Linked DNA regions of Daphnia pulex. Each later gene encodes a partner of the first gene's protein in a complex. Links are inferred from orthologs where the notes say so. Each region holds a gene or a part of one and is shown on either strand. Other genes may lie near its edges.

The links. The genes of interacting proteins can lie anywhere in the genome.
Region 2: COP9 signalosome complex subunit 7b-like (region 1) and COP9 signalosome complex subunit 6-like share a complex: the UniProt entries of both Drosophila melanogaster proteins name them as parts of the CSN complex. The link is inferred for Daphnia pulex from reciprocal best matches to the Drosophila melanogaster genes CSN7 and CSN6.

The regions. Positions count from the first base shown.
Region 1 is NC_060017.1:4,234,633-4,242,988, reverse strand, and holds COP9 signalosome complex subunit 7b-like, read right to left. Parts: upstream 6,293-8,356; 5' UTR 6,006-6,292; intron 5,934-6,005; 5' UTR 5,905-5,933; coding exon 5,740-5,904; intron 5,681-5,739; coding exon 5,516-5,680; intron 5,414-5,515; coding exon 5,326-5,413; intron 5,264-5,325; coding exon 5,010-5,263; intron 4,945-5,009; coding exon 4,813-4,944; 3' UTR 4,684-4,812; downstream 1-4,683. Other genes in the region: serine/threonine-protein kinase 17B-like, read right to left, coding at 1,949-2,142; chloride intracellular channel exl-1-like, read left to right, coding at 7,216-7,251, 7,320-7,379, 7,448-7,532, 7,609-7,703, 7,769-8,257. UniProt on the Drosophila melanogaster protein: Component of the COP9 signalosome complex (CSN), a complex involved in various cellular and developmental processes.
Region 2 is NC_060019.1:12,301,322-12,307,022, reverse strand, and holds COP9 signalosome complex subunit 6-like, read right to left. Parts: upstream 1,853-5,701; 5' UTR 1,765-1,852; coding exon 1,611-1,764; intron 1,551-1,610; coding exon 1,422-1,550; intron 1,362-1,421; coding exon 1,047-1,361; intron 981-1,046; coding exon 787-980; intron 720-786; coding exon 576-719; 3' UTR 501-575; downstream 1-500. Other genes in the region: probable transcriptional regulatory protein FMG_0893, read left to right, coding at 1,940-2,086, 2,158-2,170, 2,240-2,486, 2,558-2,694, 2,756-2,982; 60S acidic ribosomal protein P0-like, read right to left, coding at 3,334-3,645, 3,857-4,042, 4,216-4,450, 4,669-4,844, 4,915-4,968. UniProt on the Drosophila melanogaster protein: Component of the COP9 signalosome complex (CSN), a complex involved in various cellular and developmental processes.

The DNA.
Region 1 (8,356 bases):
CAAGACTACATGGCCAAACTAGACACAGCAATGAAGACGGAAAGGTAGAGGGGAATCGAGATACACTCGAGACTTGACTATATTAGGAAACTGAAAACGTTCAAATGCGCAGATGATACACGTTTGACTTGGTCGAGCCACTCTTATTCCCATTCTCAACATTTCTCTAGCCAAAAAAAGACAAAAAACAACTCAAGGAATGATGATTCAAACTAAAATGTTACGTGGACAAATCTACATTTAAATCAACACCACATAAATCTAATTGCTAGACATTCATGATGAGTTGGCAGTTCCACAACATAACGAATTGAACAACTAGAAAAACTATGACGGAAGGACTAGAAATAAAATTTTAGTTAGTCACCCTTGCATTCCAATGCATTTATCGATTTCATTTTGTTTAAGAAATTGCAGACAAGAAACTGGAAGAGGAGTTGCATTACGACTCAAACGAGATATGAAGCTTTGGGCTGTTGTAAGATGTCTGACCCAAATAAAAGTTTTCCTGAATCTCTAGTCACACCCTTACAGCTGCGTATAGACGGCAACTCAATCATGTTTCTCCAGTTATAATAAGAAGAGAATCATAATTTTCGGTCAAGCTCCACAGCAATTTCAGAAATCTATTCCACTTTCTATTTTTAAAAACACCAGCCAAAATCTATAACATTATTTCTTAATTCTCAAGATATAAATAACAGATTCCCTGTTCAATACTGGAGTCTAGACAACAAATTTCCCATGCTCAACGTATTTGATAAAAATTCACCAGACCAAGAAATACAATATCTAATGAAACTCTATTCATAACAATACTGATTTCTTAAGCAAGCACAAGGTGTTGAGTAAAAAAAAAGCTATCTTCCCACAATTAAGTGCAGCTAGTGTAACAGAAAGTTGCTTCTATGACGACTAACCATATGAGCCAATACACTTTCCCATTCACCCCTAGCCTACTAAGAAAGAAAAATGTCTCCGTAAAAAGTTGGTTCGTGTACAATCTTGTATTTTCGCCAACACGACGAAATAAGACTGACCGCTGGTTGACATCATCCGTCTTTCATAGCTTCAAATAAAAAACAAATTGACTTGAAAAAAAGGAAACTATTCGAAATTTACACAAGACGCTCTACAGACATTTTTAAGGCGACGTTAAAAAATATTTTACACAGCAAACACGAGACGTGGCCGACATACCAGGGCCACGAAAAGGCTGAAATATCGATTTCACTCTCGAGCAAAGTTCTTGAATAAAACAGAGTCATAAAATGTTACGTTAACGTTTAACAAAAAGTCAATAGCTTGCTTCATTATGTCTTCCTGAAATACTAACGAGTGTAAGAAAAAATGATTTTAAAAGGCTACCTAATTATTTCTCTGACATCTTCCCAATTTATGTTCTTATCACGAAAGTGAACTGCGAATAAAAATGGAGGATTACGAACGAAAGGTTATCTGATACTGATCGCCAAAGGATGTGGGTTTTCAAAAGATTGATTTCAACACTTGTGTCAACAATAATTTGTATTGTTTTTATTTTTTTGGTAACGTACGAGTTTTCGACCGTTGCGCATTAAACAAGCGGAACAAACCTGACGGGTGAGATTTTTATCATGGACGCAGTTGTGCAATATGTAAACAACACACTATCTCATTGGTCAAAGATCCATTCACTTTGCCACTTTCCACCAACGTTCACGCAACTTTCCCAGTCAAGTGTTTCAAAATACGTACGTTGCATAAACTAGCCAGCGTGAAAGTTGCTGAAGCTAGCAGCATCAAAACTCTAACGAGCAACTGTATACGGGATTTTAGGTCGCATGTCACACTAACTTTAGTTTTAAAAAATGCAAAAATTCACTGGGATCCCCAGCAGCATTATTTGTCTCAACTTCTCACACATCAAAATAAAACACAAAGTTTACAAACAGCCAACATGGTTTACCTGGCAAAAGGATGACTTTCCACTGTGTACAGTTGATGGAGTGGCTCTTTCGCTACCAACACTTCAGCTCTAGATGGACATAATGTCAACAATCCAGGCATCGAGCTTATGGTTAAAGATGGTATTAATGCTTGCAGTTCTTCCAATGCCATATCTTCAACGGATCCACTTTGGACTTCACTTCCACCCACCATTTTGTTTTTATTGTGTTTTACTTTTCAATTCTCCAAGTGAGAAAAAATTAACTGGCACAAACAGGCTTGGTGGCTCCCAACACTTGTTTTCACTGTTTCTTCTACTCGCACTTGGAAAATAACTCTTGGTTGGGAATTCAAGCACTTAGAATCTTTGGAGCATTAGATCACAGTAATGAAACTGATGTTCAACAACCAATCTAGTGAAAAACAGTTTTTATTGATCCGAAAGTTGAGCTGTAGATCAAGTGGGCCATGCTTCGTAATCCGTATGGAATTCGGGAAAAAAACAACAGTTTCTTAGGCCACAAATTTCGAAGCAAAAATCCACATGAGTTTGTATTTCAAATTCAGAATCGCCTGAATTTGTCAGATAAAAAAAAATCACCGAAACTTTCAATAAAACCGTTCAGATTGCAACTCGAGAGTGGTCTGCTCTCCGTTGGTAGCAGTGCAAGCGTCGTTCCTCTAGCGGGCTCAGTCTCAAGCTCCGCCCTTAACAGCCCCAGTCTTACGCCAAATAAGGTATTGAAATGCCGCTTTTGCCGTTTTGACGGCGGTAATACACGGTGGACTGGGAAGCAACGAGTATTGTTGGAATCAAGGGAGAATGGAAGCGCAATTTTCAACTTGATTTGAATATCGATATTTTGAATTTCTATATATGGATGCTATGCATAGGCTTGATTTCAGATCCAAGGATTTTTGAATTCGTACCAAAAAATTGTAAAAATAAATATTTTATCTCTAGAAAATTCAAAGTTCCAAATATGTTTAAATGAAAAAATAATAACAGTTGATCATTCTGCAACTCGCACATTATTCGCCAAGCTCTTGAACTGAGAAAATCTAAACTCAAAGATTAAATCAGAAAATGGGAAAAGAAAAAATAACATGGAACTGATGGAAGAATCTGCAAATATGGTCGGTGTGTTGCCATTTCCTTCGTTTTAGGAAAAAGTGAGCAAGCCAGCAGCCAGCATTTGTATGGCCCCCAAGTCTATGTATGGCTATTGCAGTGTATTCTTCCCATAAAAGGAACTCGAGTCGCCGACGACTGACGTACTTGCAAGTCGACTGCAAAGGGCAAAAGTCGTTTCTAAGTAACACCCATTTGGCCTCGAAGAATTACAAAAAGTCGCTTTTAAGGTTGCGCCACACAACTGCAAATATATATATGGAGAGACTCGATATGGCGTTAGACGAGCGTCTGCACAGCTCTCTGAATGCTATGACTATTTTCAAAGTGCTAATGTTACATCCACGTCAAATCAGGCTGCAAGACCATAAAGCGGTACGACCCTCTGTGTGTTCTGTCGAAATGCAATCACCCGCCACCACCCTCAAACCGTCAAAGGCAATCTTTCATTCTTCCTGCGTGACCCGCGTTGCCATTTTATAATTCTTACCACCCCGGGGGTGCGTCTATATTCTCACTCGGAGAGTCGGATCGAAGTAGTTTTTCTCTTTTGTTTTTTGACCAAATTTGATGTTGTATTAGACGGGTCGTCCGGTCGAGTTAGTATAGCTGCCGGAAATTTTTAGCTGAATGTAACTCATTGTTTCATTCCCAAACTCGTTCCTTTTATTGTAACATATTGCATATGATGCCAAAAATTATTCAAACAATTATTAAATGCGCGAAAACACTTTTTAAACCTATTTAAACTAATTTGAGCCCTCGCCAATAGTATTTGAAATACTCTAACATTAGATTAACCGAAATTAAGACAACAGATTTTAGTGGCTTTAGAGAATCGCGCATTTGTTATTTTTTTTTATTAAGGTTTCATTTAGGATTCTGCATATGCATCTGTTGATATGGTTAAGGGGGAAAAAGTGCTGTGTTTGAAAAAGACGTCATCTTACGAAGAAACCACAACTTGGCAGCACCGCAAAACACCAAACTCCGATAATTTGATAACTTACTGAAATAAAAATCTCGTTGGTAACTGGTTGTTGTACAGATCACGTGATCAAATGACTCGATGATTACAAAACGGACGCACCCTTCGTGTGCTTCGGGACTACAGCGGCAATACAAATCTAAAAACTGAGAGAGCCCTCTACCGTACTCATCCAGTAGTACGAATAGTAGGTAGCGCATCTAAATTGATTGCGTTCAACGATGCGTGCGTGAATTGCGCTACTCTAAGCCAAAAAGCATGTGACATCACAGGGTTAGAAGAGAAAAGTCTGCTGGTCATCAGAATAGGGGAAGAGATCACAAAAGGGATTACATACATCGAGAAAGTTACCTACATGGCAGAACGGTACTTCAAAGCTCAAAGTCAGCGTCTGGAACAAATGAAAATACTGTGACGAAATTGTTGCGCAATCCAAGCTTTTTTGTTTTCCATTTGAAAATAGCGTGAAGATATGTACACAACTGTTATTTGGTTTCATGACTGAATCTCTTTACTGCATTTAAAATGCTTGTACAGCTACCTAAAATTTGAACAAGAAAAACCGCCAAGTTCCGAGTTCCTAGAAATAGACATTGGCCTTGGCGGATGATGAATATCAATGCTCGTCAGCAAGTGCAGTTAAAGAAATTTTCTTTATTTATTTCATTGCGAACACTCTTTGAGACAACAATACCATGGGTGAATCAAGTCCAATGCTTTCAGGGATAAGTGAATACAAACATTAAGGAGTAATTACAAATTTTCAGGATTTATTCCAAAACTTATTTGGAACATTGGTCTTCAATCCTTTTCCCTTGGCAAGCTTCTTACCTTTGTCACCTAACATTTCATTGCGCGTTTCACCAGTAAGAGATATATCATCGCTTTCCTGGATCTGTCAAGTTTCAAGCATTCAGATTTAGTTTTAAGAATTTCAAATAATTGTAGTGCTAGATATACTTGGGATTTCAAGGTTTTTTTAATATTCAAAACTTCCTCCTCGATAGCGACACGATGCTTGATATGCTTTTCCTTTTCACAATTTGCATTCATGACTTGGGTTTCAACGGCTCCGAGAATTGCATCACATGCTTCACACCAATCGTTCAAAGTTTGAATGATTCGGCCAATGTCTTTGACTTGAGCATCTCGACCAATTGCAAAATCAACTTCCAAACGACCGTTACGCTGGTCTAATTTCCCATGAATAACGTCTGAAAGAATAATTGTTGATGATAAAATCAAGATGTATTAATTAATAATTTTGGTGGCAAACCTCCATAGATGGCTTCAATGACAAGATCTTCAAGTTCTCTGAGATTCTTCATATCAAGTTGTTGGACCAACACTTCATATGGAATGCACTAAAATTGAAACAACAATTAATAAAAACAAACTACAGTAGCTGTGAACTTTAACTTAAGATGCCATTGATGACTGCATGCAACAATGATAGCAATACTCACTTTGTTGGTTTCAGATAATGTCACAATTGTTAAGTGTCTCAGTTTCTGCTGCTGAAATGGTGTTAGCTCGGGCAATGAACTACTGTTTTCAAGATATTGTCTGTATGTTCCAAAGGCAAATAATTTCAGCAAATTGTAGTAAGGTTGAAATTGATCAGTTTGAAGCTAGAAAAAAATATGCATAAATGAGAAAATTTCATCGATTAAACATAAAAAAAATTCACCTCTGTAATATTGGGCATGTCGAGTAGTTCACCAAACACATAAACGCCAGGAGCTTCTAAAGCCTGCTTTACTAATTCAACAGCTGCAGCCCCTTTAGCCGACTTTGCTAACAGTACAAACTGTTCAAGGGGGTTGAAACTGGTAGGTTTAGTGTCAGTCGTCATATTCGGCACCACAATTTTCGCATAAATGACTATTGAACCAGAAATGAGACAGTTATTCTTACATTTGCGGAAAAAAATGATAAAATGTAAGCTGTATTTACCAAAAGATCTTCTTTAATAACCTACTACAACGTCTGATAGCATAGCCAAGGTATATTGTATAGAAGAATGAGATTCACTGTAGTCTGTAAGCAGTCCGCGCAACTTATTCGGAGCTTCTAAAATATGGTTGCGCGGAAACAGAAACAATGGGAATGGGGAATGCATTTCAAATAGTTCAAAACTACTAGGGCGCAAAAATAAAAATTAATCGTATTCACTATTCAGCAGTACAAATAACTTTAGTTTCATTTTATAATGTGACTTAATGTTGTAGTAAGCTGTGTTTAGTAAGTTTAGCAACATTGTCACTTTTGATTGTGCGATAATAGTTAAAACAGAGCTGGTTAGGTTTGGTTGCTTTAGATCAGGTCAGAAATACTATAATTAATTCTTTAAAAAATTCAAACTTTTACAAAAGTGTCCGGATGGGGAGAATAAGTAAAGTGCGGAGAATCCGCACCTCAATCTCGCACTTTACCAGTCAATTCCGCCTTCCGCACCCCATCCCCCCCCCCTCAACGGATGAACTAATTATTCACATATTTCGGCTGTGGGTTGAAAGCAAAAAAAGTACAATAAACAATAACATGAAAAAGGTCGAGTCAAACCAGCACAAATGACAGCATGTGAAAAAACAATTCCGACTTGAAAGCCGAAAAAAGACTTGCGGGTTGCGGATGGCAAAAGAGAGAGGGGGGATGGATGGTTAGGAAGAGAAGTGAGTGAAAGTTTTTAGATAAAAAAAGAACTGGGAAACAGCATTTGTTGTGGTCCCTCGGGCTTATTTCATGTTGAGCGTCGGTTAGCTGCTAGTATATGGGCAGATAGAGCCTTTAGTCTCGTGTTTTTGGTGCCGAGCATTCTTCTTGTGTTCACCACTGCGAATTTCAGACAGTGTCGCAAGCTTCAACACCCGTATCTTTGCTTCTTTATTGGTTCTACTTCGACATTGTGCTGACTGCTGATATTAGAAAACGGTTCATTTAGTTAGTGTGCATGTTTAGGGCGGCCAAAAATAAACCTGCTGGAGACTGTTGGTTAAATTTTGGCTTATTCGGGTTTTAGAAGTGTGAGTTTCTCATCGCGGCTGTACAGCAGCTGCCAGACTATTTCATATTTCCTTACGGGTGCTTTACGTCTGCGTACTTGGTAAATACAAGAGTGACTTCCCTTGTAAATAAATCTGAAATTTTGAGCGCAGCGGAAAAAATGAGTTTAGATGTTCAAAGTTCACAACAAATGATGGTAAGGGTTCTGTTTTTACCAGTTTGCTTCATTTTTTATTTTCCGATGACGTCATTTTTTGTTGCTAGGTGTTGTACGTCAAGGCGGGAGCAGACGGAAAGCGCTACGGAGCCTGTCCATTTTGTCAGGTTCGTTGATTTCTTAGTTAAATGGGGATCTGGATTACGTTAACAAGATTTTATTACAATTATTACAGAGAGCCTTCATGGTAGTATTGACGAAATCTCTACAGCATCCCTTCCACTTCAGATCCGTCACCGTAAATTTAGCTAAACCACCAGGTACACGATCCGTAGTTGGGATAAATTCGCATAAACTTTTATGGACTAAAAATAAATGTATAACTTTTTTCCAAAGAAATTTTTCATCAACGCGGATTGCGCCGTGTTCCGTCCCTTGAAGATGGAGACCAAGTGATTGACAACATCGATGATATCGTTTCTTATTTGGAGGTAATCGTATTAGTTGGAATTTACTAGGTACACTCAAAGACGAATTTTATAAATTTGATTTACAGAACAAATTTCCGGACAACCGTCTACTGTACGACAACCCGAAAGCTGATTCTGCGATCAAAAATGTGTTCTCGCGCTTCTGTTTTTACATTAAGCAGATTTCAAAAGACTCCACACATCTTGAAAATGAGCTTCAAGTGTTGAACACTTTTCTCGGTCAACGAGGAAGCATATTCTTATGCGGGAATAATTTAACGCATCTAGACTGCGAATTCCTGCCGAAACTTCAACATATACGAGTTGCTAGTGCTGCTTTAAAGAATTTCTTTATACCCATTAGCCTTACTCACATCTGGGCGTATTTATTTGCTGCGTACAATTCTGATGTGTTTGTGCAAACTTGTCCGTCTGATCAAGAAATTGTGCTGCACTGGCTGGACCGGCCGCAACTAGGTCAAATGGCTTACGATGAACACAAAAAACTAATTCAGGAACCGCCAAAACATTCATTCGATGTTCCCGCAGTTGCAGCTCTGGTAAATCTCGAATGACAGAGAATGTTATTTTCATTTTCCGTCATCAAATCAGCCTTGAGTTTACAAAATTTATACGTTGCTACTTGCTATCGACTTCCGAGAAAGAATTTTATT
Region 2 (5,701 bases), on another chromosome or scaffold:
CGTTGTAAATCTGTACCTACACATTTTGGCATAATATTATAACACATTTTTCCAGTGTTGTCAAAATGAATTGGAAAAAAAGATTGGAATCTGAATCAAATAATTTTAGATGCCAAAATTTCCTTTTTTCTGTGAGCTCAACTACAATTAATTTAAGTTATATTGGATCACGAATTCATTAAATAATTTTAAAAATTACAAAAAAACTGCCAAACAACGAACGATATTGTTAAGTCGAGTAAATCTTTAAATAACCAACATCTTGGCTAGGACCCATAGTTTCGATGTAAGCTAATCTCCAGTGTATCGGATTTGCCGGATTTGTCAAATCCAACAGACTGCTAATCTCATACTAACACTCTGTATTAACAAAGGACGCCTTAAATTACGAGGCCAATAAACTTAAGAAAAATAATCCATATGGACTTGATATTACACTGCCATGATTAAGCTGACATTTTCAATACACACCTTGGATGGAAATGTAGCTGAAATGGGAATCTTGATCAAAACCAATATGTATTAGGTAGGGCACAAAGCATGTTTCCTTAAATATGTTATACAATGCTCACAATTCAGAAAAAGAGACCACGCATTCGGCGACCCATTATGCCTTGACGGTCGCAAAGTATGTTGAATTTGGTGACAAACTGGTGAAGGTCGTGACATGCTTTGGTAATGGATGCCAAATAGGTTTGCAGCAAGACATCATTGTATTGCTACAAGACAAAAGAAAACAAGATTAGAAAAATCAACCCAATTAACAAAGAGTTAAGATATAATTACGGTGTAATATTCCTCCTGGAAAATTTCAGAGTTGAGGACAGGTAACCTGTGGGTCAGAGATTTAGCTTCGCGTAAGACTTCGTGAGACTTTGGAACCTCTCCTCTCTCCATGGCTCGAATGTATTCTAATATCAATCGCACTCGGTTGGCAAGCATTTTTACTGCGTTGTGTTGGGCTTGCAATTGTTCCGCCACTGTTTAAAAAAGAAAAGTATGTCCATGACAGTTTCATAAGGATAATGTTAATGAATTAAAATTACCTTGAGAACTTTCAGCTGAATCACCAGAAGCCATTCTAGCAACATGATCAACTCCAATTCTTTCTGCCTCTTCTGTGGCCAAAGTATAAGTCAATTCAACAAAGAGCATAGTTGCCTCTCCATTGACAAGATCAATTACAGATTCATACATTGTTACAGGGAGGTCAGCATTTCGTGTAAAAGGATTAAGCTTCAAAATTACAGGACTTTCGTTAATCTCACATATTTGTTTGTGGACATGAATGTCAGATTCATTGGGAGCATCTCCAGTGGTATACCAGCCAAGGAAATCCATATCACTAAACACTTGCTTGACTAAAGATAAAAAGAAATTATGAAGAACATTTAATAAGTAAAGAATGGGAAATTTCATACATTGCTCCTCTTTTGTGTTGTAGTAATCTCGGTCAATTACCACATTCTCAATAACAGTGAAAACCAGTTCAAAGGAATTCATGATTTCTAGGCTTCTTCCTTTCTGCTTTCCAATGAGTGCACCAATCACTATGAAATTGTGTATACAAAATAAATAAAGAGTTAAAATGTACATCACATAAACATTACCTTGCTGTGCTTTCCCTTCCTGGGCTCTCACTCGAGTCCAATGTTCAGATATATTCATCACAACCAAGGGATGCAATAAAACTGATATACTTCCTGTCGCCCCCGATGAAGCCATTACATGGTTAACATTCTGATTATTCTCTTCAGTCTCCATTGTTTTATTCAAGAAAATCGAATATCAGGAAGTGATCTGCGTTTGAAAAGAAGAAGTTGAAAGCGTAGCAGTCGACGTTGTAGCGAGACTAAAACAGCAGACGAAAAGATATTTACCGGAACTGCATTTTGTTTTCTTTTTATAATAATTCAAAAAATATTAACAATAATTTATCATGTTTCAAAAGATTCGTTTGGGTATTTTGATTCCGCTCTCAAGAAACATGGCTGGGCATAGTAAATGGGCCAACATCAAACATGTGAAGGGTGCAAAGGATGCTGAAAGAGCAACTTTACATCTAAGAATTTTTCGTCAAATTAGGGTATTTTGAATTTGTGTTCTCATTATTAGTGTAACTATAACATTTTCTTGAATTTCAATCACAACAATCAGGCAGCTATTAAAGGTTTGTATACTGAGTATTAATTTTTGGTTGAAACAAAGTTTAGCATTAACATACAATTCTTTGTTGCAGAACATGGCTCGGCAGATCCAAAACAAAATATAAAACTTAGTCATCTTGTAGATCAAGCAAGGCATCATAATGTGCCCTCTGAAAAGTTGAAACATATTCTAAAGAATGCTGATCAGTCTACTGAGGATTTAAAACCTTATGTTATGGAAGTAAGAGGACCAGTGGGAACCTTTTTCGTGGTAGAAGTTCTCACTCCTAGTTATTTGAAAGCAAGACAAGGCATCAATACAATCAACAGGAAATTCAAGTAAGTTTAAAATTACTGGTAAATGTAGTGTATGAATTGACTTATAAGTAATAATAATCCTTTCTTGTCAGTGCATCATGGGCAGAAGGAGTTTCAAACAATCTGTTTAACCATCAAGGATTAATCAAGGTGTCACCATTATCTATTGGCCAAACTATTGAGCAAGTACTTGACGATGCTATTAACGTCGGGGCGGAAGATGTAACAGGTATCATTCAAGTGAAATATATACATTATGCAATTATCCGAAATTCTGTGGTAATTTCTAGCTGATGAAGATGGCAAGTTTGTCTTCACATGCAGCCCAAGGGATTTTTTGAATGTCAAGAGATCTGTTAGTCAGCTTGGCTATTGCATAATAGAATCTGACTTGCTCTATATCCCACGAAATAGAGTTCAGATTGAATCCGAAGAAGACTTAGCATTAGTTTCTAAGCTCTATAGTAAGTTGGAAGAAGAGCCCGATGTTGTTAAAATTCATGATAACATTGAATGAGATATTTAATACATATTGTAAATTCTTATATTTTGCGGTTTGAATAAATTAATGCAAAGTGCAATTGAGTATGCGTCCGAATTACTTTTCATTTATTACATCCACCCAAACGCCGCGTACCCGCTTCAAGAAATTATGTCAATTAATGCAGAGGAAACTTGAACCTTATTAATGAAAGAATCGTTCAAGACAAACTGGGATATCAAAAGAATAAGTTAAGCACGAATCATTCCGTTAATCGTCAGTTTATTACAGTTCATAAAAGTATCCGCGGTACATGAGTCAAAGCTCACCATGTAATAACATTTCATCAACTGTAAACAGAACTGGATCAAAATCTGACAAGAGCGTCTAGTCGAAGAGACCGAAACCCATATCATCATCCTCTTCTTCGGATTCTTCTTTCTTTTCCTCCTTCTTGGGAGCAGCAGCAGCAGCGGCGGCCGGGGCGGCGGAAGCAGCAGGAGCAGCAGCAGCGGCGGCAGCAACGAACTTGCTGGGATCCTTCAAGAACTCCTTAACCGTCATGGCTTCTTTGAACTCGATGTTGGTTGCGGCAGCAACAGCCAACAAGTTCTTGAATCCATTGATCAACGAGTGAGGGGCAGAGGCCAAAGTTGGGTAACCAATGCGAAGAGAAACGCTAGCCACGTTACGAACACCCTATGAACATGTAACCGATTAGTCAACTATTCTATTACGAACTTATTCATAATTGAGTCTTAATTAAATCAGACTGCCGGTAAAGGCATTTTATATCACTGTCCCCGGCCTTTAGAGGGTTCTCCCATTTCTGGGTCTAAAGGTTGTTCCGGGGTCAATCGAAGTTTTTCATCATTTTAACAGTGAAGTAAGATTTTAGAACACAACTAACCTCCAAGAATCGAGTACGAAGAGATTCAGGCTTGATATCCAAGATTTTCGGCTCGAATACAGTTCCAGAGTCATAAACTTGTTGAACCACCAATCCGTAGGTAAACGGAGAGATGTTCAGCATATTCAAGAGGGTTGCAGCTGAAGCATCAACACGCTCACCCTCCTTGATGACGTTAACGGTCGTCTATAAAAGAAAGATAAAATTTAATCTCCAGAAATCCTAAGATAAACTAGCATTAGTAAAAAAGAGCTCAGTTAAACAAATTTCAACACGCCACTCTATGGCGATTCAGGAGAACGAAAGTTTAAAATAACATCATCGCAATCTGTTAGTTGAGAATTTAGTGATTCACTTACGATAATTTCAATTGTACCCTTGGAAATCTTGGTTGGGATGGACAAAGCCTGGAAGAAAGAAGTCTTCTCAGGTCCGAGACCTGTGTTCTGGGGCTCGATGTCAACAGGCATAGGAGCCAAAGCACCAGCACGAGCGGGAGCTCGAACTCGGTTCTCAGTCAACCTGTCCCTTACGTCCACCAGATCGTTCTTGGTGAAGACGAAGCCAACATTTCCCCTGATGTGAGGAAGAAGCCTAAAACAAAATCAAACTTCAATTAAAACTAGAGCAACACAATCTGTAATTGTCAAAAGCAAAGTTCATTCAGACAGCAACTTTGCATTTGTAATCCCCAATCCCTTGACTTGGAGGGTTCTTCCATTTCTGGATCCAAGTTTGACCAAAAGATCATATCTAATTTTCATCATTACATTTGTAAAATTAATTCCCTAATAATAAAAACAAGTCAATACTTCTCCAATGCTGGGTTGTTCTCCAGATGTCCGCGAATGGCTTTGCGGATCATGGTGTTTTTGCCCATGAGAACGACGGCATGATCTCTCAATGAGCGACGGATCTGCTGCAATTGCTTAGATCCGACATTGTCTGCTCCGACAATGAAGCACTTGGGATATTCATCCAGAAGTTGCTAAAGAGAAGAAAACAGTCAAAACAAGCCAACTTGAACATGAAAATACAGTCTACAGAATGAAACTTACAACTAGTTTAACGAAATAGCTAGCTTTCCATGATGTCTTGTCCTCCCTGCCCATCTTGATTGTGGGTTACAAGGAACTCCTAAGGTGATTTAAGGACTATAGAAATGAAAAAAAAAGACTTGCTATGAGTCCACATCGCGATGCTGTCGAAAATGTTTCGAAGTATTATAGTAGAAAAGTTTTAAGAAATTTCTGAATAACATAGACCAGAGAATGTACAATGAACAAAACAGTGCGAAAATAATGGGAAATAGGCAAGATGTCAGAGATTTCATGAGATGAATTTAGATACAAAATGCAAGAGAAACTTACCAAGGGTCAAACCGGTACTGAAGTGAAATGTGGAAGATAGGCAAGGAAGAAAAGCTGAATGAGATGCATGTTGCCAGTTTTACAAAAATAACTAGAATTTCCATCAGAAATTGATCAAAATTAACCATAGTCAATAATCTTATCATATCATATTTATGATGTATTTTAGTGAGTAAAAATATAATGGAAAACGCAAGAATATTTTGAAGATATGTGTTCTATTTTTACTTCCATTATTCTAGTTCTGAACAGAACACCAGAGCCATCACTCATCAGTCATTGGAACCCATTGATTTCAATTCTTGTATTCTTGACTAAACGACTTCAAACAGATAATTATTTTTATGTAGTCTCATTAATTTTGAACAATATTCATTAGTTCTACTTACCTACTTTTAATTGAGTTAACCGCTGATTGATTACAAAAGGAAAAAGAAGAAAAACAGTTATACACTAGGTGTCTCTGTCTCTCAGA